Alligator mississippiensis: one gene and its partners. The protein of the gene in region 2 purifies or fractionates together with the protein of the main gene of each other region. This does not show direct contact. Links are inferred from orthologs where the notes say so. Each region holds a gene or a part of one and is shown on either strand. Other genes may lie near its edges. The genes, in order: MAPK14, DUSP4 and MAPK8.

Region 1 (10,449 bases), on a different chromosome or scaffold from region 2:
TGAAGTGATGTTGTAGCTGTGATGATCCAGGAAATATGCAAGGCCTGAAGTACTGTATTTGGCACCTGAAACTTCTGGTTCATCCCAACCATACAGTTAGTTCAATAAAGCATATTGCCCACAAAAATCCTTGCCTCTTGCACATTTAATAACTGATAATTTAAGCACATGGAGTGGGCCGTGTGGTGCAAGTAAGTATGCTGGGTTGGTAACTGGGAATGAAATAGAGAAAAGAAAATAGAGGATGTTCATGAAATAGGGAAGTGAGAAAGAACCAGAAAAAGGAATATGAGGAAGCAAAAGAAACAAAGGGCAGAAATAATAATGTTACTAAAAGGAGGCAGATTTTGTCACTGAATGATGAATGCACCAATAAAAGACTGAACAAATAATGTTTAGTTACAACGTAAAAGCAATAATTTATCTTAATCTCTGTGAAAATCATCTACTGATGGCAGTAGGACCACATGCACCAAAATGTGAACTCCAGCTCACAGACCACATTTAACCCTCTCCACCAAATAGGTTTGAAACCATTGCTGCAGTAGTTTGTTCGCTGCCTTTCCCTTTTTGTTAAATATCCCAAGTGATGGTGCTTTTCACAAACCAACTGATTTTATTATTAAGGGTGTTCCTGAGTGAATGAAAAGCTGGAAAAGAAGTAGTGAATCAATTTGTGCTCTCATTTACATCAGTGTAACCCTAGATTACTTCCACTTACCTCGGTGAGATTACTGGGGATTTACTTCAATGTAACTGAGAGCTAAATCTCTCATAGTTTTGTATTAAAATTTGTATTAACAGTTTCTCAGATCTGAGCAGGCTGGAATGGGATAACATTTAGACAATTAAGTTCACTTAGGTGTCTTACAGGTGGAAAAGGATCGAGTCCTTTATTTTTGGTGAACTCTGAGACAGACTTCTGAGAAGTGATAAATGCATCTTTCAGATGACTTGGCGTCCACTTTTTTATGCGGACAGTGGTATTTAGGTGCAAAAGGAGCCCATCTAGTACACAACTACTGTTTCTTGTAGGTCAATTCACAGAGAGGTACCTGGTGCTATTTAAAAATAAATCAAACCTGACACTTACAGGCACCCCTGTTTTCTCTGATGAAGATGTAGTACATCCAAATAAAGCCAGAAATTAAGTGGACATGAACATAACTCAGGGACAGCTCAAGCTAGGTGCCAGCAGCATCAAACCAAATTAAAAGGGAAACTGATAAAGTGGCTCCCAAACTTTAACTGGTTATGCTTTCCCTGATGGAAGAACAGGGGACATTCTCTGTTAAAAAACGCTGCTATCTGGTGCACGCTGTTGGGAACTCACCATAGACGGATGGTTTATAACAGGAGAGACACCCTAATCCCAAGAGCCAATGTTCCAAAGAGAATTTGTGAGGGTTCAACTTTCCCATTCTTTTCAAAGAATAAAGGGCGGGCAAATGGGTTAGAAAGAGGGTATCAAAGATACAGCCCACAGACCAAATCCAGGCCACAGAGCTGTGTCACCAAGTCCGTGTGGCTCCTGGAGAAGCCTTGTGATCTTCTCCAGGAGCCACAGATGTAGGGTAAGTGGAGGCAAGGCCCACCATAAAAATATCAGGGTATGGAGCTCTGTTGGGGATGTGTTTCAGTAAGGGCTGCATTAACCTCCCAGCTCCCTAATCTGATACAGCACTGCTCACCCCACCACTGCTTGCCCACTGCTCGCCTTGCCACTGGAGCTGGGTTCAAATCCGACCCAGAAGATTTCTTGCTGGCTGGTTCTAGCCCGAGAGGAGCCCTGCTGTCAGGATGTGGCCTGGGGGCCAAGCACGTCTGACAGTCACTCCTGGGTGAGAGCAATTTTTGTCAGTCCTGCAGGAAAGCCAGCCAGCCTCTCGGTCCTACGAAGAGGGAACCGAAAATGGTATCTGGAGAATTTAAGCAACCAAAATAGCAAAATCTACAAAGCGGAAAAGCAGACGTAACCTTGTATCTAGCAACTTGGGTGGCGGGAAGCCCTGAAACAATTGGCACGGTTCCTCCTCATCACGCACAAAACCTTGGGCTGATGACAAGTCTGAGACAGACGTTCATAATGGACAGAGACCGGCGTGGACTGTCGGCTGTAGCGCTGTGCTGAGCTTCGCCTCCCACTCCCCAGGCATGGAGCTCTGTAGCGACTATTTGATTTCAGCTGTTATTACAAACTTCTGGTTTTGCATTGACAAGTAGCAGCAGAAGGACAGCACCTGACAGAGCCCCTCAGCTTTTTCACAGATTTCCAGAAAACAACTCACCTGCATTGGACCTTCCTTCGTTGGACTTGAAAGATTTTGAAATCCCTGTTCTTGGGCAGGGGCTCGTGTCTTTCGTAGGTTCTCTCAAAGTGGTCTTCAGTGCGCAGACCCCGATTGATGTGGTAGCTCCTTGATTGCCTGTGCGGACCGAAGGGATGACTGTCTGGCTCCATCCGGTCTCGGACGTCCGAAGGCACGGGAACCCCGAATGCCGGCAAGCAAAATGAAAGCTCTCGTCTGCGATGCTAAAGAGAGGAAAGAGGGTCACGGACCTGAAATGACTCTTCAGATAGTTACACCGACTGAACCGACCGGGCGCCAGGGTCGGTAATCGACGCCCGGGGCCGCCCCACACAATCCGCAGAGTTAAATTAGGCTCTGGCAGCTGGAAATCCTCTATCTGCTAAGTGCAAGCAGCAACCCCGATGCGGCCTGCGGCACCGCCTGGTCACGTCGGGGCGGGATGCGATCCTGCTAGCCCTGCGTTGATCTCTAGGGCCTGCGAGAGCAGTGCCCCAGCCATGCCGCTGAGCCTCTCGCTCTCCTTCCCATCCCGTGAGCCCCTCCTTCCCATGGCTTTCTCCGCCTCCTTTTTTTCCTCCCTCTTTCCTCCAGGCCTCCCTCTGCCCCTCGCCCCTCAGCCGCTGGGGCCGTCCCAGGCAGGCTGCCCACCCTGCCCACGGCAGCGCAATGGCAGGCGCTGGCACGGCCGTCCCCTCAAAGCCGTGGCTCGGCCAACTGCCAGCCCGGGGGGAGGGGTGGAGGATCTTTCTGGAAGGCTCCCACCCCAGGAGGGCGCCGGGTCGGGTCCCCCTCTTGGAGGAAACTGCGGCTGATCCACCCCCGAGGGAGGGCGTCTGACTCCCCCCCCTTCCACTTCTGCCCCAGGTGGGACAAGAGCCGAGTCCCAGGTCTACCCGCTCTCCTCGACGGGCGTGCAACGCGAGGGACGGCTCCCAAGAGCCTGGAGAGGCATTGCCAAGGATCCTGCGCGGCAAACGGGAAGGTCGCGGCGCAGACGCCAGCTTCCTGGCTCCAGCCAGCGTTGCCAGCACGGCGTGAAAGCAACTTCGCCGGACTGGAAGTTGCGCACGGGTGTCCCACCCCCAAAACAAGCGCTCTGCTCCCAGCTTGAGCTCTCATGGCAGCCAGAGGAAATGTTTTGAGGACACGTTCAAGAACATGGAGGCCCACATCAAGAGCTGGGAGCTGGCTGCTAAGTGACCCCAAAGGTGCTGCAACCTCAACCAAGCGGCAGCCCGCTCGAGGTAAAGCGTCTGCCCGTCTAAGCAGAGAAGAGAGAGCGGAGACAGGAGAAGGAGAGGAGCCCCAACCTACAGCCGATTCCCCCTGAAGAAAGATCTGCAACATCGGCGGATGGGTCCCGTGGCTCCATGATTGGACTCTTAAGTCACCTGAAGACCCAGTGATGAGGCATGGTAGAGATCGGCCTCGAATCAAGGGATTGCTGCTGCTGACCATTTGAACTGCGCGGGGTAGTTAGACTTGGCTTGCGCGCACATTGCAAGTGGCAGGACAGGCGAGATCCAACCTCCTCCCTACTTATAACTTCTCAGGGGAGCAGACTTCAGTCCCACAAAGCCAAACTCTAACACCAGGGATGTGGCTTGGGTGGGATCACGATCAAATTGCGCTGGATGGGGCAAATACCACACAAATATCACTATTCCTGTCTCAGGGAGAAGCGGAGGCTTGACCTCACGCCTCAGGTGAAGTATAGCACGGTCCACGGTCCTAAATTCAAACCCCACTAAACACTGGTTATTTGTTGGTTGACCATTGCTCATCTCTTTACTTTCTTCTTCTTATTTTAATTCAGGCTCAACTTCAGCACTGCTTATTAGGACATGCTTTACTTGAAGTGCTGATTTAAAGCCAGTTGGTTTAATCTAATTACCTGAAACACATGCTTCAAGTTAAGTATATCCACATCTGCTTTGGCAGCATGCCTCGTGCAATGCGGACAAACACAGATATTCCACTTCCCTAAAATATTAATAGTGCAGAAGGTGCATGCAATGGGGGCCCAGGCCCAGGACACACTGGGAAATCCACCTGGGGGACAACTGTCATTGCAGGTCTTTCAGATGGACACTAGAGGCCAAATCGGCATTAAAAGGAAGGACATGGTCACACCAAACTGGGACTCGGGCTCTCCTAAATCTGCTTCTGTGCAAATGCGTCAGGTATCCAGTTGGTAGCTGTATTGGTCTAGAGGAAAAAGCAATCAGGGTCCGTGGACAGAAGTGATGTCTTTTATTAAGATTTTTTTTGCAAAGATCTTGTTGGTTTAATTGCAAGCTTTCAGGCACAAACACCCTTTATCAGGCATCAGAGAAACACCTTTCATACAGGCCTAAACCTGGATACCGGACGCATGGAATATGTTGAATTTTAGCTGATTTTTTAAATGAAATCTTCATATTTTCCCAAGCTGGAAGCAACTGCAACCGCCTGAAACGTGAGACCCTGCTCCTGCCTTTGTTTCAAGGTAATTCGCATCATCACAGATCCTCACAGGAGACCTGTCCTTAACAGCTATGAACCACTGCCCTGAGTTTTCCATCTATTGACCCCTCCATAAAATCCTGTGAAATACGAACTTTCATTTCTACCCGGGAGAACTTTTCCAATCTTTTCTCTGATGCCTGATGTGGGTTTGTGCCTGAAAGTTTGCAATGAAAGAACTTGCAATTAAAGTTTGCAATGAAAGTCTGCAATTAAAGATTTTTTTTTCCTTTTTTTGCAAAAAAAATCTTCTTGGTCCAATGAGAGATCGCTTCTGTCCCCTGGCCGTGACGGCTCCGTGCAAAAGCCTCAGCGAAGGTTATTCCCGCTCGGGGTTTCTTTAGCTGATTTTGCTCCTGCAACCACACGCGCCGCGGCGCCCCCCCCCCGCCCAGCTCTCGCGAGACCGCCCCCGCGCTGGTTCCATATTGGGTCATCCCCGTCCCCGCTGCCACAACTCTCGCGAGACCCACTGGAGTCTCGGCCGGGCTGTGCCACTGGCGGAGCGGGAGGGGGGCGGGGGGTGGGTGGTTACGTTGCTCCGCGGTTGCCGTCAGCGCCTGCAGCCGCCTCTACCTGCTCGAGGAGCCCCCTGCCCCCGCCTCCTGCGGCCCCCCCGCCCCGCGCGCGAGGGAGGAGCCCCCCCGCCGGCTCGGGAGGGGACGGGAGGGGGGGCCGCGCGCGGGACCCCCCCCGCCCGGCCCGGCCCGGCGCCGCCGCCGCCGCGATGTCTCAGGAGCGGCCCAAGTTCTACCGGCAGGAGCTGAACAAGACGGTGTGGGAGGTGCCCGAGCGCTACCAGAACCTGTCGCCGGTGGGCTCCGGCGCCTACGGCTCCGTGTGGTGAGTGCCCGCCAAGCTAAGCAGGGTCGGGCCCGGTGCGCGCTTGGATGGGGGACCGCGGTGGCCCAAAGGCCTCGGGCTGCGGGGACAAGGGGAGTTTGGTGCCTGAAGCATTGGGGCTGCAGAGGTCATTTAGATGCAGATCAGATCACGCCTATGCAAACTGTCCCGTGCGCTCTTCAATCCCGACAGCGTGTCCTGCTGCTGTGAAATGATGTCAGCGTGCATTTCAAACCCGGTGGTTTGAACAGCTGGGGTCAGGTAGCAGCAGAGCCTTTTAGGTGTAGAAATATTGGTAACACTGTAATGGGTTTCTCGGTGCCTGCAGTGCTCCAGCACCTGATGGGCCGGTGGGTGCAGCCAGGACGCACCTGTCACTGCATTCATGCAAAATACTCATGGTAGAAGTCAGGCTGGAGACCTCCAGAGGACTTGTCTAGTCTAACCCGCCCTGCCTGAGGCAGGGTTGTTCCTATCCAAAGCGTCCTGTGCGCCAAATCATCTTAAATACGCAACCCATGATCAGTTAATGCCAGAGCCATAGTCCCCAAATGCAAATAGAAATGATTTTCTTTTGCTGGGGTTACACGACCCCAGCAGTCTTTCCTGCCCAGATCAAGGGGCTGGACCTGATGATCGCATGATGTCCCTTCCAGCCCTAAACTTCTGTGAATCTTTACACGTTGTAGCTTTAAAAAAAAAAAAAAAAAAGCTGTCTGTTGGTTCTGTTTTTTTTGACAGCAACGTGTTCATTTGAATGATAAAACTGTCTGCAAGTTCCATTCAAATAACACCTATTTCCTAAAACTGCTGTGTCACAAGGAGATGAGTATTTGTCCCCTGCCGTGTATAAAGGAGTTAGTAGTTTGAATAACTGAATGTGCTCTTGGAACTGTTATCGTTGAAAAGCTGAGTTTAGTTGCAGCAGACCAGAGGCCTGACCTCCCTAGTTCATGAGTCCTCCTGAGGTGCTGAATGTGCTCAACCCTCTTGGATTATAATGGGGGGAAAATGAGCATGCTTCCTGACCGTCTGACTTTATTTTTAAGAACAACCCTTTCAAAATCCCTCCTCCTGTTCCAGATTGTGTTTTCCAGACTCTAAGTATTGCTTCCAAATGCTTCTTTCCACTGCTAACAACGTAAGGATTTGCATCATGAATTTCCTGTTTTGCAGTGTCAAAGCTTTCAAAGATTGTGCAACTGCCTTTCAGTAGCAGAAGAACCTATTTTTTATTGAAAGCAGTTTCAAACAGACTGGAGTCTAGTAGACATATCTACTGTGTCTTTCTGTATGTCTTATAGTAATTTTTTTCCTATAGAAAAGGGAGAAAATAGGTCTGTCCCCGCTGCTTTTTGCTGTACTTGGTTTGAATAGTGTAGTTTATCTTATAAAATTTGATGGCACTTTGCTACTAATCAAAGTTCATGTCTGTTTCTACAGACTTGCTCCTTCTTGGCTCATTTTCTTTTCCAATCTGTCATCACTACGAAGTATGTTGTATTTAAGATATAATTGGAACAGATTAAGGTTACAACAGCAAAGCCAGGAGATTCTCCTGCAGTGTTAAATTGAGGTAGTGAAATAAGCAGAATATACTAAGATATATCACTATAGGGGTATGTACCAGGGAGGATGTGAATGGGTGGGTGGGAGCTGGGGGTAGAGGGAGTTTAAACAGGAGGAATATTAAGTCTCATAGAGAGAAGACTTTTTCAAACATAAATAATTGCATCAGCAAATCATGAAGACCATATTTTCCAAAGTATAACATCATTTATTTAGGAGATGGTGCAGGTAGACATCTCAGTTGTTTTTAGGAGACAGCTTTAATTTAAGAAATGGAAATTAAGATGCAGAGATACGGGGTGGAGGCTCAAACTTTTAGGAACTGAGAAACTGATGTAGACAGAAATGTTTCTTACACTCAGCAAATAATCATTTGCTGTTGTATCTGTTGGATGGAATACATATTTCATTTGATCGTACAACAGTTTCAATATTCTTGACACAACCCTGTGGTTTAGTCTACACGAATTCATTCTGGGGTTGCTGAAGTACCTCTCTCATAAAGCCCTGACAGTTTGGAAGAGGGGATTTTGAATAACTTCCTGCAAGGTTGTAAAATGGAATTGATGCTGCTACAACACTAGTAATTTCCCTCCCATGTGGGGGAGAACTAATTGTAGATAGCATGGTTTCAATTAGTTCCAAGCTAAGAAAAGTGTGTTATAGATGTTTCAGCACTTTGAAACGGTCAGTACTCAAAACGGGTTTTGCACTAGATGGGCATAGTGTTGCACAGGCATTATGAATGCAAGGCTTTACAAGCAGTGTCTTTTTCTTGTAGTCGGCTTTTGCCCAAAGTTTTTGGGAACTTCACAGTCAAATATGTTTTAATTTGTTCTAGAATATGTCTAAAGCTTCATTCAGTTTCAGGAGGAATTTAAGCAGATGCACAAGAATCTTGTAACATGGCTCGTATATAGCATATATATCCAGATACACACAGTACAGTATTCACAGTAGTTTAGGGCTGGAAGGGACCTCATGAGATCATTGGGTCCAGCCCCCCTGCTCTGGGCAGGAAAGACTGCTGGGGTCAAGTAACCCCAGCAAGGTGTGCATCCAGTCTCCTCTTGAAGATCTCCAGGGTAGGTGCCTGCACCACACCTGCTGGGAGTCTGTTCCAGATCTTTATCTGGATCCAGATATGTTTCTGTTATGAGTGGAAGACTAAAGCGTCAGAACTAGATTTGTTTCTCAGTTACTAATCATACAGATAGTTTAGTTTCCTTTGAATTTGTAGTAGTTTCCCTTTTTTAAGTTAAGGAACTTTAAGTGCTTAAGACTAAGGGGAAATGTAGTGAAAAGCCTTAAATGTCCCATTCCAAATACTTCAAAATAATAATGATTTTTGCAGGCTTTTGAGTTAGCATTTGTCTTCACCTTCCCAAATCCATCAGCATAGCAGAAGTGCTCCTGTGTACATGTGTGGGAGGCAGGGGAGAACTACTAGCAATACAAGAAAACTGCCGTCCCAACTCATAGATGAAATAATCTGATTTGATCATAGCAGTTCCAAACTGCCCTGGTAGTCTGTATGTGGCTTGCTCACACTGGGCATCTTCTTTTCATTTAAAAGGGTGTATGGGGACTGACTGGTGAGAAATTTTCAGGCTTGACAGTGGTCCGTTGTTCCAAAACGTTTGGGAAATACAGGTTTATAGGACTTCTGGTTTGCTTGTGAATGTGGGTGTGATTTACATCTGCAGTACTGAATGAGAGAAAAGGAGTCTGAATGCTGTATTCAGTGCTGGAAGTAGTGAGGATCCTGTTCATCTTTATCCTCTTGTAAGAGGAGATTCCAAAGGCCACCGGCAGTTCTTGTTATGGTTTTATCTCACGCGTTCATGAGTTTCATTGTCCCAGATGCATGTAGTTGTGAACTGGATGCCATGTGGAGGAAGATGACCTGAGGTAACAAGAGTAAGTTCCATGAAATGCTTCCTTTTGGCTGTGTAGGTTGTAGCTGTGTTGGTCTAAGGATACAGGCAGACAAGGTTCTTTGGGTGAATCTGATATTTTTTATTAGACCAACTTAAATAGTTGGGGAAACAAATTGCTTAATATGGTTTTTCCAACTATTTAAGTTGGTCTAATAAAAGATATCAGGTTCACCCAAAGAACCTTGTCTCTTTTTGGCTGTGACAGAGATCTTGTCTTTATATTCCATCAGGAGCCAGTGTACAGAGGAAAATACCAGGATGCTGTGTGCATCTTCTTTTAACTAAAATTGTAGGATTTTAGTGCGTTTTGTTGAGTTAACTCAAGAGAAAACAAGCAATTATCTGACTACCTCATTAAGGATGCTTGAGGTGTTCTCTAGTCTTCACAGCTCCAAAATAAGGTGAGTCATCGTGATCCAAAACAGACTCATACAAATTAGTCATAAATCTTTACTAAGTTTCATCCATTTCAAGAGGCAAAGATGGCATACAACACAGTGTAATAAGTCTCTCTCATGTTAAAAAAAGGGGATCCTCTGTGTATTACTCAGTTTTCTCAATTGCCATCTCTGTCTGATGAAGTGAACTCAAGATCATGAAAGCTTGCGTGCTCTATCTCATTTAGTTAGTCTACAAGCTGCATACCTATCCTGCCTTCTATCCCACTTTTGGCAAATAAAGTTTTGCTTTGTTGTGACTGGGTTCTCTTAAATTACCCCTCTTCTGGTATCTGTAAGATATTCCACTTTAAAGAAGGTAGGGGCTTACGGCAGCTGCTCTGCCATAACTGCTTTGTGTATTTTGCTCCTGTCCCATGAAAATTAGAAGCTATTTTGTGCTAACTGTGCTTTATTGTATTCTTGACCTATGCCTCCCTTTAACATGAACTTATTGGTTTGTGTGTCCAGACTCTTACAATTTTTCAGGACCTTGCCATTGTCTTCAAATTTGATAGACTCCGCATCCTCACTTTTGTTTGAAATGAATTCTGGGCTAAATTAGAAGAAGACATAAAACATGTTTAATTGTTAAAGTCTAGTTGAAAGAAATGAGTTTATAGCTAGCTTTTGCAGAAGAGTGAAGTTGCTTGCTTCGCTGGTGAAGGGTGTTTCAAGTATGGGGAATGGTATGAAAACAGCTGTGAAATAGTGAGTGGGAGGAAGAGGTTATGAAAAATTTAGAGAGTCAGGTAGTATTAGCAGAAACTATGTGAGCAGGGGCAGAGTAGGAGACCAAATTCTATATTAGGAAGCATGAGGCAGAGCCTTGAAAGTGAGAGC
Region 2 (10,273 bases):
CCAAATACCTTCTCTTATCCTTGAATGAAGTTCCCATAACCCTTTCTTAACATGCAGTCTGTGTATTACAACGCTATACACTTTATATTACAGCACTCCAAAGGTGGATTGGAGTAATATAAAGTGATTCTGTTTCACTTGCTATTATTGCAGCTTTAAGATGCCGGCAGGCTGTGTGATCTACACAGCACAGGTCTGAGGACCTGCATGTTTCTAGGTCTTAATCTTGCTTGAGCCATTGGCATGCTGTATGTGATTAGCAAGACATTTGATCTTTTTGTACTCCAATTAATTGCTTTGAAGCTCCGCATTGCCATAATGCACATGGAATATGTAAACAAAAATTATTACAGTCATTATCAACAGCAGCTCACATGTAATAAAAACAAACACAGTGAATTTAACATAATACATATTTTGGGGATTGACACCGTTCCCACTGACATTAGCCAAATTCAGCTCTTTGAATGCAGTGCCTAAAATGTTGTGTGAATTTCCTTGGTTGTACTGTTTTTTCCCTTTGGTAAAAGGAATTGAGACTTTACATATAATTTGAGAAGGTAGAACTGAAGAGCAGGTTTTAATAAGATATTACCAAAGAGAAGAAGTCAAGTCAGGCCAATGAAGGCTTTTACAATTAAAAGCAAAGGTAGACGGTCATGTCATTGAAACAAAGAAGCAGTCTTAGCTTGCATGCATCTTTATCAGCATCAGAATGACTTATTAACAAGAGACAAAACACAGTCCCTTTAGATGCCACTGCCAAGAAAACAATTGAGAAAAAGGCTCCCTGTTTGAGAATTAATTAATCCTTATCGGAGCTCCTGCTGTTTTTACTGTATCAAGCACAACATAAATGCCAAATACAACATTTATCAAACCTATTAATGGACTCACCACTATCTAACTACATGCGTGCGCTCCCGATCCCCCATTGTCAGTAAAACCATGAATAAATTACAACGCACTGGTTGTAAACAAAAAACCGTGCAATTCCATTGGGCACGCATGTTTCCAAAATAGACTGAGGGGAATTTTAAGAAAACCTCATTACAGAGCTTGAAACTTCTCGCTGTCACTATTACTGCGATTTTAATTTGGTTTAAATTAGCGAACATCAGATGCAGGCCATTAAAAAGGCAACAATCACTAGATTGTCATCAGGGGGTGCAGACCAGTTTCAAAGGGTTTTGCTCTACTATGAGGAAGGGAATGCTTACACAACCGAGAATCATTTTTTGCTACGTAACTGATGATCTGCCTTCAGTGTTCTGACCTGAACAACGGCTGATTTTCTTTCAGCACAACTCGCTGTATTTAGCTTGGATGAGAGGAAGGAATTAATTTTAATTATCTGCATCAAATTAAGGATCACGGCAGCTGGTTCCGCTGCTGCGGTTTCAAAGCCATTTCCTGCAGGTATCTGTCCAGCTTTAAACCAGATAAAACACATTCAGTTTTCCCGATGCTCCCTACCTAAATTCTCAAGATTTAAGCTGTCCTTGTGTCCCGTCCCCGCACCCCCAAGCCTAGGTTTTGCAGTGTCTTGGCTGAAACAATTAAAGAGACTTGAGAGACTGGGAAGGAAGATTCATGACCTGGCCACATCTCCCACTACACCAGCAGAGAGGCACCATGACATTTCCTCTGAATTACTGTGAATATTCAAAAATGTGCAGGTTTCTCATCAGACTTGCCCTAGAGCTCATTCCTGGCCTGCAGAAGGTTGAGACACATAATTCACCATGTTAGTCTGAAGTCAAGTAGAAGGCAGAGCAGATGTGCACCTTATAGAATAACCAAGGTAGATACAGACAGCATAAGCTTCTTTGTGAGGTGATGCTCACTTCATCATGAAGTGAGCTTCAGCTCACAAAAGCTTCTGTTATCTATATCTACTTGGGTAGCATATAAGGTGCACATCTACTCTGCCTTCTACTCGACTTCAGACTAATGTGGTGGGAGGGAACATAACCATACACAAAGCAAACTCAGCCTCCATGTTCCAAAAAAAGGGGGTGGTTTGATTGCTTTACCCAGAGCACAAGGGGAAGGAGAAAAAACCAGACTTGCAAAGTCCTCCTCTGTGGAGAAGGCTTTTTTGGGCACCAAAAGCATCACATCACTCTGTCAAAATCCAGCCTGGGAGGGCTCAGAGAGCTGAAGCAGCAAAAAAAAAAAGGGGCCACAGGGGTTTCCTTCACAGACACATGGCAGCTCCCACCCCAGTGCTGGGGGAGCCCACTGGCCCCACCACCCCTTGTATGGAGCCAGATCAGACCAGCTATCCTTTCACGGGGCCTTTTTTGCTCCTATCTCTTGTCCCTTGGGCAGAAGCCTCAGCCGCAAAGCCAGCTGAGCCCTACCAAGCTCAGGCAGGTCAGGCACAGGTCACCAGCAGCCTTTCCCCAGCAGCTGACTGGGCAAAGGGGCAGGAAGTGACTAGCCACTGTCCCCCACACTGTGTGGGGAGCCTCCTGCCGGCCTGGGGAGGGGCGAGAGGGGGGCTGAAAGAGCAGGGGCTGTGGAGGAATGACAAATGTGCCCCAAGCGGGAATGGAGGCAGGGAGGGAAGGAGAAAGAACAGCCACCCCCATCCCACCCCCTGCCCCTGGATTTGCAGCTGGGCTGGCCTGCAGGGAACAGAGCAAGGAGTGTTTGGCCTGGCAACTCCAGAGCAAGCAGGAGGCGTGGGGGGGGAGCAGGGCCAGCACCCAGACCCTCCAGGCCCTGGGGCTGCTTGGGCTCCCTCCACACCCCAGGCACAGGGCCTCCCTGATCCCACCCCCCTCGCACAGTACTTCCCTGAACCCTCCTGCTCACACCCATGGTCAAGGACTGCCCTGATCCCTCCACACACCCCATATGCATGGGGCCTGCTCCGATTTCCCCCCCACCCCTCAATGCAGGGGCTGCCCTGATTTTCCCCTCCCATACTTACACCCCATATACAGGACTGTCTGATTCCCTCCCCCCCATGCACCCCATGGCTCCCTCAATCTCCCTGTGCCCTGATCCCTCCCCACACTCACATCCCATGCAGAGGCTGCTCTTACTTCCCCCTCCACACACCTCCCCCACACCAGGGCTGCTCCAACCCACACTCACAGCACATACGTGGGAGCTGCTCTGATCCTGCCCCCCTCACACCTTCTACACAAGACTGCTTTGATCCCTGGCCCCCACTCACTCCCCACGCATGGGGGCTGTTCTGACCTTTCCCCCTCACACCCCATATACAGGGCTGCCCCAATGACCCCCCCCATTCACTCATACCCCACATGGGGGGCTGCCCCTGCCCCCTCCTACTCATGCCCATGACTGAAGTCTGCCCTGACAGCTGCTCTGCACACCCCTGCCTAGGATTGTCCCAATGACCTCCCCCCTCACTCACACCACACCTAGGGGGCTACCCCATCCCCTCCTGCTCACATCCCATGGCCCAGGGTTGTCCCCCCAGCACCATGGGGCTGGTCTAACTGCCCCCCCCAATGCCTGGGGCTGCCCCAGTGACCCCCCTACTCACTCACACCCCACATATGGGACTGCTCCATCCCTTCCTGCTCACACCCCAGTCTCCGACTCACACACATGGCTGCCCCCCCCCTTCCACTCACTCCCCCCCACACAGGGGCTGCTCAGACATGGGTCTGCCCCAGTGATCCCCCCCCCCCGCCTGCCCCGACCCCTCCTGCTGACACCCACGGCCGAGGGCGACCGCGACCCCTCCACACATGGGGCTGCCCCGGCCCCGGCCCCGGCCCACCTGCGAGCAGGCAGACATCGGCGCGCTCGGCGTCGCGGCGCAGCGCCCGCAGCACGAGGGACACGGTGCCGTCGTCGCGCAGGCAGTCGGCGCGGGAGCTGCGCTCGTCGTACAGCACCACGGCGGAGTAGAGGCCGGCGCGCAGGCGGGCGCGCACCTCGGCCTCGGCCGGCAGGATCTGCTCCAGGCTCACGGCGCCCTTGGCGCGGCGCCGCACGATGGTGTTGCAGCGCACGTTGAGGGCGCCCAGGACGTGGCCTGCGCTGTGCGCCAGGAAGGGCCGGCAGTCCAGCACCAGCACGCGGCCCTCCTCGCGGCCCGCCAGCAGCCGCCGCAGCCCGCCGCTCTCCAGCTCGCGCAGCTCCCCCATGGCCACCATGGTGCTGATCCGGCCCCAGCTCCTGCCGCCGCAGCCGCCGCCGCCGCCGCGGGAGCCCCTTTACTCGCGCCCCGCCCCGCCCCGCCCCGGCCGCGCTGAATGGAGCGCGCCGCCGCTGACGTCACCGCGGCCCATTGTGAGCGCGGCCCGCCCGCCGCCTCCATTCATAAAACCGGGCAGTGGAACACGGCGTCGCCGCTTTGTGAATGGAGCGCTGCCCGCGGCCATCCGCCGGCCCTCCCCCCGCCATTGACTGGCCGTAACCTGGGCATGAGCCGGGGGGGAAGCGCTGCGTGCCCACCCGCAAGGAGCTGCCCCAATGACCCTGCTTCACGCACACCCCACCGACAGGTCTGCCCCTGCCCCCTCCTGCTCACACCCCAGGGCCGAGAGCTGCCCCATTCCCCCCCCCCACACACACACACACCCACCCACACAATCCCTTCCCCCCCGACACACACGATTTCCTCCCCCCCAGATCTCAGAGTCGCTGTGGTTCCCCCGCAATGGTGCCCGGCCAGGGCTGGTCATCAAGGCGGTGGCAGAGATCGGGGCCTGCCCCGCTGCCCAGGCTCGGACAGAGCCGTGCTTCCTTGCCCGCGGCTGGGGGCAGAGGCGGCGCGGGCCCGCGGGGTCTGGAACGAGCAACACGCGGGGTTCCATTTTCGAACGTTGGAACATGCAGAGACCCGCCCCCGCAGGGGAGGGGGAGGGGGGGTTTCATCGGCTGCGCCTCGCCGGTGCATGGGAGACCCCGGGTGAGGGGACGTGGCCTTCGGCCAGAAGGAGCCCCGTGTTGCCCCAGGGAAAAGACCTCCTGCGAGCTCTCCCCCGTGACCTGGCTGCTGGCAGCAGCGAGCCACTTCCTTCCCTGTTCCTTCCGCGGGGAAGCGACTGTTCGCAACAAAGGAGTGTTTGTCCATCGAGGCTCTGGGAGAGATGATCCTGCCCGGGGAAGGGGGCTGGGCTAGCCGCTTCCCCGGGGCCCTGCCAGGCCTTGCTCCAGCCCTCAAACAAAGGGGTGCCCAGCAAAATCAAATGATTGTTGTTGTTTATTAAAAACAGCAACAATCATGATCATAGAATCATAGGCTCCAGAATCATAGAATTACAAGCTCATCTAGTCCAACCCCCTTGCCTGAGGCAGGGCCATACCTCTCCAAACCATGGCATACAGCAGCAATTCCCAACCTGTGGTACAGGTACCACCAGGGGTACTCAGGCAACCTGTCAGTGGTACACATTAACAATTTTTTTAAATTATATGACAAAAATTTGCTGGTGGTACTTAAGGCTGTATCATTTTAAATTGGTGGTACACAATCTGTCAGTTTGGGAACCGCTGCTATACAGGCAACCCCTACTTAATGCTGTTTTGCTTAGTGCTTTTTCACTATAATGCTAATTTTAAATTAATACCTGATTTCACTTAGCACTCAGTGAGTTTCGTTATAACTCTCACAGTTGCCATCTTGGGTCATTAAAAGCACTTGCGATCTCCATCTTGTGTTATCAAATACTTTCTGTTTCACTTAACATTCTTTTGGCTTTTATGCTCAGTTTTTCAGGAACCAATTAAGAGCACTAAGCAGGGGTTGCCTATACAATCCATGATCTAAACCCAGGCGTTCTCAATCTTTTTCGTACCAGGATCCATTTGTAAACATCCATGGCCAGTCCTGATCTGGTAAATAATTTAAGTAGGAAACAGCCCCCTGGCCCAGCTAATGCCCCTCAGTCAGGACCAGTTGCTCCCCAACCCCAGGTCCCAGCCCCCCCCCCTTCCCCCAGTGTGCAGGGTAGGGAGTAGGTGTGTGGGGCTGGAGGGTATGTGTGGGCACTGGGGCCCCAAGCAGCCCCTGGCAGGCTGGAACTCTGAAAGGGAAAAGCCACTGTTTCCCATGCTTTTGTCCTTTAAAGGAGAATCCATTTTTAAAGTTTGTTCGTGACTTTTTCATATATTCTTGCAACCCACTTTTGCGTCATGACCCACAGGTTGAGAAACACTGATTTAAACTCAACTGTGATGCAACACAGACCTAACACTCTAACCTGCCACACATAAAGCAGAGGAACCACAGCAGCCAAAGTCTTGCTTCTATGAAATGTTGTCAATATAGGCTCAAGAGATCCCTGGTAGAGGGCTACCCCCTGCCCCACAGAAGAGGACAAACCCCCCCACAGTCCATACCAGTCTGACCATGGGATAAAATTCCTTCCTGACCCCAAATATGCTGATTGGTCTGACTCGAAGAAGAGGGGTAAGACCCTCTAGCCAGGAACTTCCAGAAGAAGCGCTGGCACAGCCCCCAGTTCCCCCTCCAAACCCAGCACCAATTCCTGCTTCTGAATTCACATCTTTTGGGAGATGGAAAGAAATGAACACGGGAGAAGGGGAAAAAAAACAGAGAGAGATTTTAAAGCTGTTAAAAAAATGAAAGAAGAGGCCTCTTGTCTTTTCCCTCTCAATGTATGAAATGAATACATTACTGTAAGTAGCAGCTCCCTGGCTATCAAGGCTTCTGCTTCCTGGGAAGGGACCAATTTGTAACGGTGAGATCATGACATACAGGAATATTGGTAAATTGTTTAAACACATCAAGCCAAATCATGTTAGAGGCCTGACAGTGGATAATGTGAATCATGGGGTTAGCTGGGATACAGGGGGGGGAGGGATCTGATAGAGTAGCTAGGTTCAACAGGCTCCAGGGATATAATTAAGATACTGTAATTCAAATGCTTCCTGTTTTGTTATTTGATATACTAACTGTTACTCACCAGAGCCCCCAGAGCTCATCCCTTCTCTGTTTCATCCTCCGTGTTCATTCCTCTCCTCCCCACAGGCCTTTTATCTTTGACTGGACACACAATGCAAGGTTGGTTCACAAGGGGCTCCTGAACAGGGCTCTGCAGGACAGACCTGCCTGAGAATGTCCATACAAAAGGCTGACAAGGTTCCTTGGGTGAATTTGATAGAACCATTGGGGTTGGTCTAATAAAAGAGATCAAATTCACCCAAGGAACCTTGTCTGCCTATATCCTTAGACCAACACGGCTACAACCTAAACCCATACAAAAGGCTGTACTTTCAGGGATCATTTCTATAGTTGGTAACTAGAGGAGTGTGCCCATACTGAAGGTTTTTCCATCAGAAACTGACACACAGTCAAAATGGAAACTTCTTGTAGGAATATGTTGTTTTCAACAAACTTTTGTGTCTATAGAATAAAAACAAAGGATTTTGGTGATGCCAAAGGTACCTGACATTACACTGAAATGATTCCTTTCCATTTTCCATTGAGAAATGGGGTTTTGGTCACCAAAAATCAAAGCACACGCATGTCAACATCAAAACAAAGTGCCTCAATTGGTCCCCAAAACAATGTTTTGCAAATTTTACATTGCAGATTTCCAAGTTCAACATGTTATTGTGATTTGGGGATGAAGAAAAAGCTTCAAAACCACTATATTTCCCATTAAATTCAATTTTCTCCCACAGTCCTACTTCACAGCAAGGTTAACAGGGATAGAAGAGCCCTGGCTGGAGTCTAGAGAAGGCCATACTATCAGCCTTTGAACAGGCAGAGAAGAGGCCCTGGCAACAAGTATTTTGGTTGAGGCAAGTCATCATGTGTAAGGGAAGTGGCAGAAGAAGGCCTATCAATTCAGGAGAGGCTTTGTTCAGGTATCTGGCTTGGCTGGTGGGCTACACAGAGCTGGAGTCCTGACTTCAGCTTCTAGCCATGTTATATGGCTGTCATTCCAGACATCATGTGTCAGCTCCAGCACCTGGTAGGCAAAAATACGGTGTGCCCTGAAGCAAGTCTTAGAAAGACATTCCTCCCCAAAGAGGGCAGCATTTGAAAGGTCAGGCATGGGCCTGGGATCTGATCCCTCATGCACTCCAGTGTTACTTACCTGACTAAAGTGGCTTTCAGAACTCTTCCACCAGTGTACCCCAGGTCTGCAATCTGCTTTGGCAGCAATTCACAATCATCTGGCCATCATGCCCCTGACAGCCCTTGTTGGAGGGCAGTGAGGGTTCAGGCCAGAAGTGCCTTATGTTATAGGCAGGCAAGGTTCTTTGAGTAGATGTGATATCTTTTATTAGATCAGCTGAATAGTTGGGAAAAGTTTTGGGCACAGTCACTCTTCTTCAGGCATAGGAAGTCTGTTATAGGCAGATCCAAGTCTCAGGTATAGGGTAGGAACTGTCTGCTGTTCCCTCCTCCATTCCCTTGCTGCTGCTCCCTCCCAACACTGCTTTCTGGCTGCTGCCAAAACAGCTCCTAACTCCTACTCTTGTCAGCCTTGCCTTTGTTTGCCTTTGTCTTACCCCATCAGCGCTCACATGAATGAACTGTAGCCACGTGCTTGCCTGATCTAGGGTATTTCAGGCTTTGGATCTATTGTGCAGGATGCCCCAAAGATTGTCTTTGATCACAAACTAAGCAGCCACGATGATGGGAAATTATTTTGCTGCACATGCGGAGGCAGCCAAGAGGAAACATATCTACCTCTAATGAATGAATGCAGGTGCAGAGGTAAAAAGGATATACTGATACCCCTCTCCAAGTGCCAGAAAGCTATCATATGTTTCCCTAGATATCCCTTATAAAGGACATCCTTAATTCTTCAGCTCTAAAAAGAATCATTAAAAACATGGTGTCTCCTTTCAGAATCATTAAAAAAATTCTGCCTGAATGCAAGCATAATTTAAACCAGATTTTTGAGCATGTATTGCCCCCTGGCAGGGTGGCAAACTCCCCCTAAAGTCAATGGAAGCTTTGCATAAAGACCAGTGCCAAGATTCTGCTATTGGGCAAGGAAAGAATTGGTACACTTGGTGTCAGTGAGCAAACTGGCTTCTCTTTGTATCAAATCCAAAGGTTAACTCCCATTAAGTGCATGCTATGAGGTCATGTGGATCACATGGAGGTACACGTTACTTATCTTGGACACTTTAAACACTAATTACATTTGTTTTTATATTAAAATGGTACAATACAAGGAGGTTTCTCTCTGTACCTGGCAATTACTGTGCATGACTGGCTTCTATAAATCTCTCAAGGCAATTCACAGAAAGGTGTAGGTGGGTGGGTGAGTGGGTGTGCTCAGCTCCTAGATTTACAGCTGGGTTGTGCCCGTGTCAATTGTCAGTTCCTGGTTTAAACCACACAGCCTAGAAAGTGAAAGGTATCACTCTGCTATACCAAAATTACTACAGAAAATGGTGTTCAGCAATGTTTCAGTGAATTAGATGAGATCAATGTATTTCCTTGTCTCTACCGTAAGCCTGTAAATTGTCTGTTTATGTGCATCAGTGACTGACCTTGTGCGTATGAATGCAATAATAAATTCATACAACAAGTTCAGTTTCCCTGCCCAAGTACTAGCAGGAGCTATCACACTTGACTGATTTTCCAGCAGTCCTGGAGCTGAATAGCCACAGCTTAAATGCTTCAAAACACTTTCAGCCAAAATAGCTCATGTGCAGCATGCATTACACAGCAGGCAGGTGGCACAGCTGTCAGATGCAGCTACTTCTGGGGTGAAAAGCAGCCCCTCTGATGGAATCCAGGCACACTACTGAGCCTCTTAGGGCAGAAGGTGAAGAACAATGCTGTAGCTGCTTGAGATTTCATGGGGTCTTTTAAAGTGGGCAGAGTATGCTGAGCTGCAAATCCCTGTGCGATGACTAGTCATTGTACCAAGGCTCTGTTTGCTTGGGTAAATCATACAACTGTCACCAGATGTTTCTTATGCCCTCTGTGTAGTTCTGATGTGACATTGCACATGAGGGTTCATCTACATGGAGTTAGGATGAACTGACTAAAGGTGTGAAGTTAGCACACAAGTGAAAATGCATTACCCACACCTATGGGGATGCCACACCAAGTGTCTGTATGGTGGGGAGATGAACGCGCTTAACTTACATGTGTTAACTTTGTGCTTTTAATGAATTCATTTTAGGTTTCCCAAGCATTCCCACCATGACCACCCCTCCAGGTTTCCATTCAGGAAGTGGGGAAGTCCAAAGCTAAAAAATGTGGATCTTCTAATCTAGTTTTGAAGACACTGTCTCACTGTGTCCCTCTGAGCTGGTGGCACATCAAATGTTTGGGAAA
Region 3 (10,370 bases), on a different chromosome or scaffold from region 2:
TGAGAGAACAAACATAAGTATGCTGAAGTTGGACAATAAGTGGGAAGCACAACTCAATACTCCTATCCTATTATTAAGAAAAACCTCAAAACATCAGTGACCACTGACCATCAGTGTCTATAGCCAAGTAACTACTAAAGAAAACATTCCATATTATCAGTAAGGTATGAGAATATTTTCTTAAACTTGTAACACACATCCCACGAGATGGAGACACTGTACATCACTAAACTGTTAAAATAACTGGCCTATATAGCAAGTTTACCCAACTGATTTGCAAAATAAATTGCACATGCATTTCTATATAGCCTCAAAACTACTGCTCCCTAAAGTTAGAAAGTCTGATGAGCAGTACTTTCCCCTAGAAAATCCCTTATCCTTATACTCCTAAAAGTATAAATCAGAGTATGAATCAAGAAACACACTGTGGGGTTTAACATGGACACACTCTCTCAATATTTCAGTTCACAACTAGCTTGCTAGTCAAATATTTCTCCTCAGACTCTGTCCCTGAAAATTTCACTTAGGATCTGAAAGTCAAACTGGGCTCTTTCTGGCTCCTGCACCATCGGCAATAAAGATTCTATAAACAGAAATCTAATTAGCAATTCTTCCAGTGTTGATGTATAAGCCAAAAGGGAGTCCTGGTCACTGAACCCTATGCAACAGCTAACAAGCAGAAAAAAAGTGTATTTGTCAGTAAAAAAAAGAGCACATATGTACATGTAGTAGCTGTACCACATAAGAAATGGCAGCATCTTTCACCTCTGTCTACTTCTTTTCCCACAAAGAAACTGATATTCATTTCAGAAGTTTCAAAATTAAATTACATTTACCAAAAAGCAAACTCAAAACATCCAGGATTTGGGGAACCATCACAATGACAACACTAGAGAAACAAATTCAGACTCCCATACAATCAATGTGTGAAACAAGACACTTGCAAAATTGTTTTCAGATGAACTGGAATCAGTTATAACATTTCAGAGTATATTAACTTGTATCAAACAGATTCTGTTTCATCAGATCTCATTATTTTCAGAACAGAGCTGTGGGTTTTCCAGAAAATTTTGAATTGGAAAATGTTCCGGAAATTTTTCCAATGCCCTAGAGCGTGATCTGATTTAGCATGTTTATTTGACTTATACTTAGTCAACAAAACTAAAAAAGTACCCCTTCATGTTAATTTTATGTCCCAATAGCCACAAGTATTTGAACTGAAATATTTGATTAGGAAAAAAATTAAATACAGCACACATAACGTGGTTTAAATGTTCTATTCAAACAAATTCAAAGCTTTATATGGAAAGAAATTATTTTTATTGGAATATTCTTTTAAATGTAAAGACAATACACAATAGCATGTAATCCCTTATATTGTTTGTTTAAATTTAAGAAAAAGAATGAAGGCACTGAAAACTGTTGACACATTAATTTTAGCACACCCAAAGAACTGTGCATAATACGCCATGCTTTGGTTTTGATTTGACCTGCACAGCCATTTAGGTGAATTCATACCATTTGATACCAAATTATGGGGCAAAGTTAACACACCAGAGTGTAGGAAACGGATCCAGGCAGATCTAGACAGGCTGGAAAAGTGGGCAGAATGAAACAGGATGCAGTTCAACAAAGACAAGCGCAAAGTCCAGGCAAAATGAACCACCAACACACTTACAGGCTGGGGGATGACCTCCTCAGCAGCAGAAAGGAATCTTGGAGTCATAGTCGACTCCAAGATGAACATGCGTCAATGTGATGAAAGCGATCAACAAGGCTAACCACACTTTATCATGCATTAGCAGATGCATGATGAACAGGTCCAGGGAAGTGATGCTTCCCTTCTATGCGGCACTGGTCATGCACAGTTGGAGTACAGTACTGTGCCCAGTTTTGGGCGCGGCATTTTAAGAGGGATGCGGAGAATTTTGAGAGGGTTCAGAGGAGGGCCACTCGTATGGTTATAGGCCTGCAGGCAAGGACCTACGAGGAGAGACTGAGGGACTTAGATCTCTTCAGCCTTCGCAAGAGAAGGTTGAGAGGTGATTGTGTGGCTGCCTATAAATTCATCAGGGGAGGGCAGCAGGGAATAGGAGATGCTCTGTTTACTAGGGCACCCCCTGGAGTCACTAGGAACAATGGCCACAAATTGACAGAGAGCAGATTTGGGTTGGACATTAGAAAGATCTTCACAGTAAGGATTGTCAGAATCTGGAATGGGCTTCCAAGGGAGATGGTGCTCTCCCCTACCTTGGGGGTCTTCAAGAGGAGACTGGACAATCACCTAGCTGGGGTCATCTAAACCCAGCACTCTTTCCTGCCCAGGGCAGGGGGTCAGACTCAATGACCTACTGAGGTCCCTTCCGAACCTAAGATCCATGAATCTATAACTTGATTTTTTATTTGGATTGTTATGTGAGTGTATTTACCCTCCTGTTTACAAATCAATAAAACATGTGTGCGCTCTCTCACATACTTCCTAGGGATAATCACCTGAAAAACCATTAATTACAACTTTGAAACTGCCAAGCTTGCCTAATATGGTATTGGCATCCATTCATTGTTACTAATGAATTTTATGAAATCATGAATTTTTAGAAATGGAAAATGTCCCACAGAAAAATAAAGCACTGGAAAATTTTCCGCCACACATCTCTGTTTCAGAATGAAATATTTTTCCTAGAATATCTAACTCCTTTGCCAAGTGACATACTCCTATGCTCCATTCACAATCCAACCACCACCACAGACACATGCTCCATGCATGCCACTTCACCCTGCTCATTGTTTCCACGTTTAAATTAGGGTGGGCACCAACATAAAAAGTGGTACAATAAAAATAATGCAGGCAATAGGTTCATCAAATTGCTACTTTCTAGTAAAAGTGTTTGACATTATTTAAAGAAAACAAACACACATGGAATGCTGTGTGGTCCTACATCAGGGGCGGGCAATTATTCTGGGCGGAGGGCCGCTTACTGAGTTTTGGCGCCATCATGATAGGCAGCCAGGGGCAGATAAATATTAATTTTCTAAGTTTCTTAGGGGCCCTGCAGGTCAAATAGAAGGGCCTGGTGGGCTGCATCTGGCCCCCGGGCTGCATTTTGCCCACCCCGTCCTACATGCTAGAATAGTGGTTCTTATCCAGAGTGCTGCAAGACCCCCTCAGGGGTGCTGTGATGCAGTCTCTGCTGCCACAGCAGTTGGTAAAACTGCCTTGCATGCCAGGCTGTAATAGAAGCACTCTTCCTGCCTTAGGGCGCTCTGATAACTCTCTTCCCAGTCTACTTCTGCCCCCCATGCTCCTCCTGGAAAGAGACGCATAGGCCAGGTCCATCTCTCCACAGGTCTCTACTTCCAGGAGATGCTGTACCCAATCGGACTGGGAAGAACTGCAGCATGAACCACCTCTATTGTCTGCTTTAGTGTTAATGGAGAACCTGAAAGCAGGAGGAGCATCTGCATGTGCCACAGCCCTTCCCAGTCTGGCTACCCAGCAGCTGCAAAGGGCCCTTTTATTTGGCAGCAGCAGCACCCGGTTAGGAACTGAGGCAAGATGAACACAACAAAGGTTCGCAGCTGGACATGCTGCTATACTCAGTAGCTCTGGAGGGATGCCCTGACTAAAAAGGTCAAGGATTCCTGCCCTAGACCGACAGGAATTTGAAATGTGTCACCTATCTGAATCCCCTTGCAAATAAATCAAAATGGTTGCCTCAAGAAATTAAAATGAATCACTTTCAGCAACACTTTCAGTTCAGTAGCTATTACATACTTTGTAGCATACAGGTACGCAATTTATTTCATCTATATACTTATCCATGAAACAGCCAACAAATTCACTTCGATGGCAACCTTAAGCAGCAGTTTGACCTCCCTCCCTTCAGGCTACCTTTGGAGTCATTTAAAACATATTAGTGAAAGGAGGGTATACCAGCTGATGGATGCAAAACAAACCAAGGCAAAGGCCACTTTCCAAACACCTGCCTCACCATGTCATACTTACTTCACTGTGAAAGTGAAACTATCTTTTGCCCTATTGCTACTAGTAATCTGTATGCCTCTACAAAAAAGCAGGCTGTAGCAAAACACAGATCAGACACTTTTCCCAGGGCAATTAATCGTTTTCCTTTATAAAATAACCTACGGTTGGTTACCCCATGATCAGGCCAAGCTAGAAGATGTTTTTGGGGCAGGCTGGGAAACGTCTGTGCTAGTCTGGTCTGGATGTTCTCTAGGATATAACACTCAAAGTAACCCCGCCCGCGGCCCCCCCGTCAGAGAGAAACGGGGCAAGCGGCGTTCACATTTGAAGCTGGTCCCGGAACCCCCAAAGCAGAACCCCCCCCCGAACCGGTGAAATCAGAGGCCGGAGAGCGGGGAGATGCTCAGGGCAGCCGGCGGCAGGGAAACGCTGCAGCGCGTCACCGAGAGGAAGATGCAAAGCCCCCACACGGCGGCCAAGCTCCGCCGCAGCTCTCAGCGCGCCGGTATCGCGGGGGGGAGGGGGACACGACCGAGAGCTACGGCGCGGCCTGAACTACAGATGTCACCGGCTTCAGGCTGCTGCAGCCGCCGGCCTCGGCGCGCACCGCAGCGGGCACCACAACAAAGGGCCCCGCGCCCGCATCGCTCCCCCGCGCGGGGATGCGCTCGGGATCCGGCTCCGGCGGCCCCGCCCCCACCTCACGGGGGCCGGGGCCGGGGCCGGGGCCGGCTCCGGCCCCTCCCCCCACAGCAAAACATAAACAAAGCGGCCGAGCCGCCGCCCGGGGGTCCCCCCCACCCGCCGCGGCCCACGCCCACCCGCCCGCGCGCCCGCACTCACCTCTCCCACCGCCGCCGCCGACTAACGAGCCGCGCAGGCGCACACGCACGCCCCGCCCCCCTGCGCCGGGCACGCCCCGCCCCCGCGGCCCAGGCCCCGCCCCCCACGCCCCGCGACCGCAGCGCTCACGACGGCCCCGCCCGGCAGGGGCTGGACACGCCTCCGCGACCTGCTGCGGCTCCGGCTCCGGCCCCGGCCCCGGCCCCGGCAGTGGCCCCAGGCCGCCTTTTGTGCGGGGTTGTTCGGTGGGAGCGGCGCTCCCAGGACAGGGAGGCCTGCAACGAAGCAGAGAGAGGCGTGAAATGCGCATTTATAAATCCCTCCCTTCCCCCCGCTCTGGACTTTATGCATCGGGATGTGGCAGCCCGGGGCCTGCCTCAAGGCCTTGCGGGTCATCTGCAGGGACCAGAAGGGCTGTTTTCCCTCTGGAAAGCTGCTGCCCCCTGGAAGAAGGTTTCCCCGGCCTGGAAAGAGCCACACCTAGGGCTGCTCCTGCCCATCTGGGAAGCTCGAGCCCTGCTACAAGGGTTGCTGGCTGCTCAGGGCAGGGTGGCTGTCGGGGTACCTCAAGAACAGAGGACAGCTGCATTTTGTCCCCGCCACCATGAACAGTCATATGCCTCGCACGGCTGGGGGTGCACAGTGGTGACAGTGAGCGGGGAGCTCCCACGGGCAGCCACAACCATGTTGGTGGTGGGGGGGTGCCGAGAGGTGAAAGAATAGAGGACACAAAGGCATCCGGTTTCATATCGAGGACAGAGGACCAGAAAACTGGACCGCCCTCTACAAAACCAGACGAATGGCCACCCTAGCTCAGGGCCATCCCGGTTGCCACATCTGAGTGGGAATGAAGTTTTCCCCTTGGTCAGGCTGAGGAGACCTGTGCAGACTTTGCTCTTCTCTGTAGCATGGGGCTTTGCTCTCCTCTGTTCTCAAGGATTCTCTTCCTGGGATTTGTGTGTGTATGCATTCCCTCATTGCTTTGGCAGGGCAGTAGCAAAGTCCCATCTTCTCTGCTTTTACCAGCTGCGTGCTATGGTGCTCTTGGGACCATAGGCAACACACCGGGGGACACAGGCGGGCGATTGGCTGCGGGTGCCCCCCCGACTCAGGAGGCACCAGTCACCCATGCTTCAGGCTTTAGTCTTGTGCCTTGTAGTTGTGTGTGAGGGTTTAAAGCAAAGATTTGAGAGAATCCTTGGGTAAATGGTTGCTTGCAAATGCAACAGACTGGGCTTGAAAGGCCCCTTCCAGTCCTGTGTTCTTTCAGGGACCAGGGTTTTCTCTCATCACTAGTCAGGGTATAGCTCCTGTTCAGTATGCAGGGGTGGATCCAGGCAGAGGTGCACTGGTACACAGACAACCCCGCACTCCAAATTCCTATTCCACCCAAAGGTTAAAACCAACTGCCTGGCAGTGACAGCAGCATTTTGAGTCAGGAAGTGCTGAGGGACTCACTTGATTTTATGACTCATTATAACCTACCTGATCCCTGCTAAACTCTTCATGCCACAGATATTAATGCCCTTCTCTTCTTTTTAATGGCCTGGATGTTCCATCAATCATCCTCTGTTCTGCAATTCTGCTGTCAACTAGCTGCTCCTGGTAATGAGGCTCATATTTCACAGACCTGCAAATTGTTTTTAACTCATTCCAACAAAATTATATTTGTTTTTGCTTCCATCTTAACCTGAGTAAAACAGCCCTAGGCCCCTAGCATATTAGTAAAGCTTCTAGTTCCTTCTTAAATGGAGAAAAATGTGTGTTGTTTTATATGTAATAATGCACCTCACCATCTGCACCGCCCTTTTCAAAATTCTAGATCCATGTCAGTGTGTATGTCTACTACTCCAGAGCCTGACAAAAGATCAGTATGTTTATCTGCTGCTCTTTTCCCCCTTCCTTACTTTTGTGCTTGTAGGATGGCCAGTTGCAATGTGAATGAGGCATCTGGCGACACTGTATGACCTGCATCCTATGTTTAATTCCTGCCTGTGAAACATTTCAGACAGTTCTTTCTGGACTGAAGCCAGCGGTAGACAGTCCTTACTACAGGTGCTCTTTGGTTTTCCTGTCCAGTTCCTTTTGAAACAAGTATCCTTTTCTGAATTCAGCTTAGACTTTCAATCCACTCCCACTCTGCCTTTCTGTTGAGTTGCATTCAAAGAACAAAATAACATTTTCGGAGGCCTGCCCTAAATAGTATCTGCCAGTGCTTCAGTATTCACCCAAATAATTTTCCTCCGCTTCTAGCCTTCTTTAATTACTTTGACACCTCTGACCTTTGATGCTTTTATTATTTCAGTGCCTGTTATTTGGCATATTGTCACTTAACTGTGATGTCTGGAGTTTTTTTGGAACTAAAGATTTCTAGTTCTTTTGCATCCAATATGTTACCATTGTTAATCTTCAGTGCCTGCTTCCGTACAAAAGTATCAAGGTCTTTAGGTGTCAGTACTTGACTCAGCTAATTTCTTTCTTTGGTCTTCCAACATTCTCTATGCCATTTCATTGATTGCCTTTCTTGTAGGAACATCAGAGCTTAGGATATTGTTTAGCAGCTGCAAGTCATATCAACTGGAAAGAAAGAAGTCTGTGACAAAAACTTTGATTGACAACTTTCTTGGAGATGAGTAGTTACTTCTCTACAAGGCCAGATTTCCTTTTGTTAAATTCAGTAAAGTTATCTCATCATACAAGTTATTGCAGTATCACCAAATGTACCACACATTGGCTATTTGACCCTCTATGACAGGGTCATCAAATGTATCTGTCTGTGTGGGCTAGATTAGCGGAACAGGGCTGGTTCCTGGGCTGGATCAGGCCCACAGACCCCCATCCCCCCTCCCACATGTCTGATCCAGCACGTGTGGCACTCAGAGTGGCCTGCGATGGCAGCCCATGTGACTGCTGCCTGCAGTGCACCCTGCAACCAGCCCCAATGAGTGCTGTGAGTGGTGTAGCCAGGGACCCAGTCCCAGCAAGCACTGCATGTGGCTCAGGGCAAGTCCAGTACAGCATGTAGGTCAACAGGGCAGCACTGGGAGCTGGATTATGGAGCTCTGCAGGTCAGATTCAGCCCAGGGTCCACATATTTAACACCCCTGCTCTGTGCCATCCTAATGAAACTTGAAGTCACCAGTGCCTTTGTTCATGTGATCAGATTGAGATTCCACAGAATAGGCTGATGCCGTTTTTTTAGGACTTTGACTTCTGGTAGCATAATTCCAAACCCTCTGGCTCACCCCCTCAGGTCCACATTTTTCTCTGCTCAAGTGGTGTCTGGGTACCAATATGTGACAGCCTAGCTGGTAGTGATTTGGCCCAGGGGTTTTGAAAGGGTAAGAAATGATTGGAGAGCTTGGGAGTCCCTTTCCTCACCAATCAGGCCCCAGAGACTCCCCCTCCATGTCCCCTGACTGGCCCCTCGGGTCACCTGGGGGGGGATAAAAGGGGCAGTGCAGCTGACTTGGGAAGACTAGTGAGGGACCACAAGGAAGGAGTTTCAAAGAGCTGGCAAGAGCTGGGCCAGCGGGGTGGGAGCAGTTGCCCCAGAAGAACCTGAAGGAGTGGGAGCTGCAGGCAGCAGTTGGACCCTCAGCAGTGCGGCATGCAGCTGGCAAGAAAGGCTCCCTGCTGGGCTCCAGGATCCCCCTACAAGAGGCTGCAGCCAACAGGAGAGGTTCCCCAGCTCCAGCAAGAAGCTGAGCAGTGGCCCGAGAGGTTCCCAGCTCTGCTTCCAGCTCCTCCAGCCAGAGGCAGGGCAGCTTGACATGACACAGGGGCTCCTGAAAGGTCAAAACCCCTAGCAGCTTGGATTAGTTCTAGTACTGGTGACTGTGTGATATGGTTTCTGCCTATCATGTGGAAAATCTGAGTTCGTGTCTCAGCTGGAATGAGTGAAGTGAAAGTGAGATTTTTTGTCACAGTGGAGGGGGTCATTGTGTTTTCCCTCTTCCCCCCCTCCAGATACCTATGCCCTCTGTCTCTTGTTATTTGATGTTTTGTATTTTGTGCATTTTATATTTCACCAACCAGTATTGTTTGTTGTGCTGTTTGTGTTTTATACTTTGTTAAACCTGTCTTTTGTCAACTTGATGAATATGTCTATGAATGTAAATGCCTAACCTTTATTGAATCCCGCCCCCTTGGGGCATTGTAGTGCCCCCTGTACCCCCTGGTTTATACATGTTATGATCCCACTACTGTTTTTCCCATTAAAAAATATATGGTTAAGTACCCATTGGAGATCTGGCTCTGCTCTATAGGGGAAGGAGGGTCCCTATAACTCCCACAGCACTCGTGCACCTGCTCTGATCCCTTCAATTGGAGAGGGGGTACATCTTGGAGTACCGCCCAGGCTACAAATATATGACTGATGATCTTCTCTGGTAACTATTTGATTCTCTTTAAGATGGTTACAAACCCTGAAAGGTCTTTTCAGCTTAATCAGCCTCCCTGTTTTACTGTACAAGAGAACCAGCAGATCATAGAATCACAGAAGTAGGGTCAGAAGGGACCTTGTAGATCTTCAAGTCCGACCCCCTGCCTGAGCAGGAGGAAAACTGGGCTCAATTGACCCCAGTCAGGTAGGCATCGAGCCGCTTCTTAAAGACCCCCATGGTAGGAGCCAGCACCACTTCCCTTGGAAGTTGGTTCCAGATCCTAGCTGCCCTAACTGTGAAGCAGGTCTTTCTGCAGTCTTTCCCTCCCTACTAGCATGCCCACCTCACCCCAAAGTTTGGTATTATCAGCAAATTTGAACAGGTTGCTTTTCATCCCGTCGTCCAAGTCGCTGATAAAGAAATTGAACAGTGCGGGCCCAAAGACCGAGCCCCGGGGGACTCTGCTGCCACCTTCCCCCCAGGTCGAATACGACCCGTTCACCACCACCCTCTGAGTACGACCCTTCAGCCAATTTGCCATCCATCTGACTGTGTAGGCATCGATGCCACAGTCGCCTAGTTTTTTAATGAGGATGGGGTGGTTGACAGTGTCAAAGGCCTTGCTGAAGTCTAGAAAGACTACATCCACGGCGACACCTGCATCCAATGCTTTTGTGACCTGATCGTAAAAGGCAATCAGGTTGGTCTGACATGACCTGCCCCTAATGAAACCGTACTGGTTGCCCTTGAGCATCATCCCCCACGCCGGCCCATCACAGATGTACTCCTTGATGATCTTCTCAAAGAGTTTCCCCAGGATTGAGGTAAGACTGATGGGCCTATAGTTGCCCGGGTCCTCCCTGCTCCCTTTTTTAAAGGTGGGGACCACATTGGCTATCTTCCAATCATCTGGCACCTGGCCCGAGCACCACAAGCACTCGTAAAGCCATAAAGATCCTCAGTCCAAGATTCATATCTTCTACTGGCTGCTATTTGTATTTATAGGGGTTTGGGTTGTATGCACTCTTTTGCAATCATAACTTGAAGGAGATATGGTTTGTCACCATCTTTTAACAAACAGCTTAACTGAGGCTGCATAAGATTACTTATGGGTGTGAAAGGCCTAAAACTTAACCTGTCAGACTATATCTCAGCTA

What was found.
Region 1: the proteins of DUSP4 (region 2) and MAPK14 purify together in Homo sapiens (affinity purification with mass spectrometry; 3 studies listed by BioGRID and IntAct, with this or other methods). This does not show direct contact. The link is inferred for Alligator mississippiensis from reciprocal best matches to the Homo sapiens genes DUSP4 and MAPK14.
Region 3: the proteins of DUSP4 (region 2) and MAPK8 purify together in Homo sapiens (affinity purification with western blotting; 3 studies listed by BioGRID and IntAct, with this or other methods). This does not show direct contact. The link is inferred for Alligator mississippiensis from reciprocal best matches to the Homo sapiens genes DUSP4 and MAPK8.

What each region holds. Positions count from the first base shown.
Region 1 is NC_081837.1:36,162,906-36,173,354, reverse strand, and holds the start of MAPK14 (mitogen-activated protein kinase 14), read left to right. Parts: upstream 1-5,328; 5' UTR 5,329-5,544; coding exon 5,545-5,660; intron 5,661-10,449. Other genes in the region: SLC26A8 (testis anion transporter 1), read right to left, coding at 2,289-2,461. UniProt on the Homo sapiens protein: Serine/threonine kinase which acts as an essential component of the MAP kinase signal transduction pathway.
Region 2 is NC_081825.1:141,286,310-141,296,582, reverse strand, and holds the start of DUSP4 (dual specificity protein phosphatase 4), read right to left. Parts: upstream 4,192-10,273; 5' UTR 4,146-4,191; coding exon 3,767-4,145; intron 1-3,766. UniProt on the Homo sapiens protein: Regulates mitogenic signal transduction by dephosphorylating both Thr and Tyr residues on MAP kinases ERK1 and ERK2.
Region 3 is NC_081829.1:21,153,731-21,164,100, reverse strand, and holds the start of MAPK8 (mitogen-activated protein kinase 8), read right to left. Parts: upstream 4,886-10,370; 5' UTR 4,829-4,885; intron 1-4,828. UniProt on the Homo sapiens protein: Serine/threonine-protein kinase involved in various processes such as cell proliferation, differentiation, migration, transformation and programmed cell death.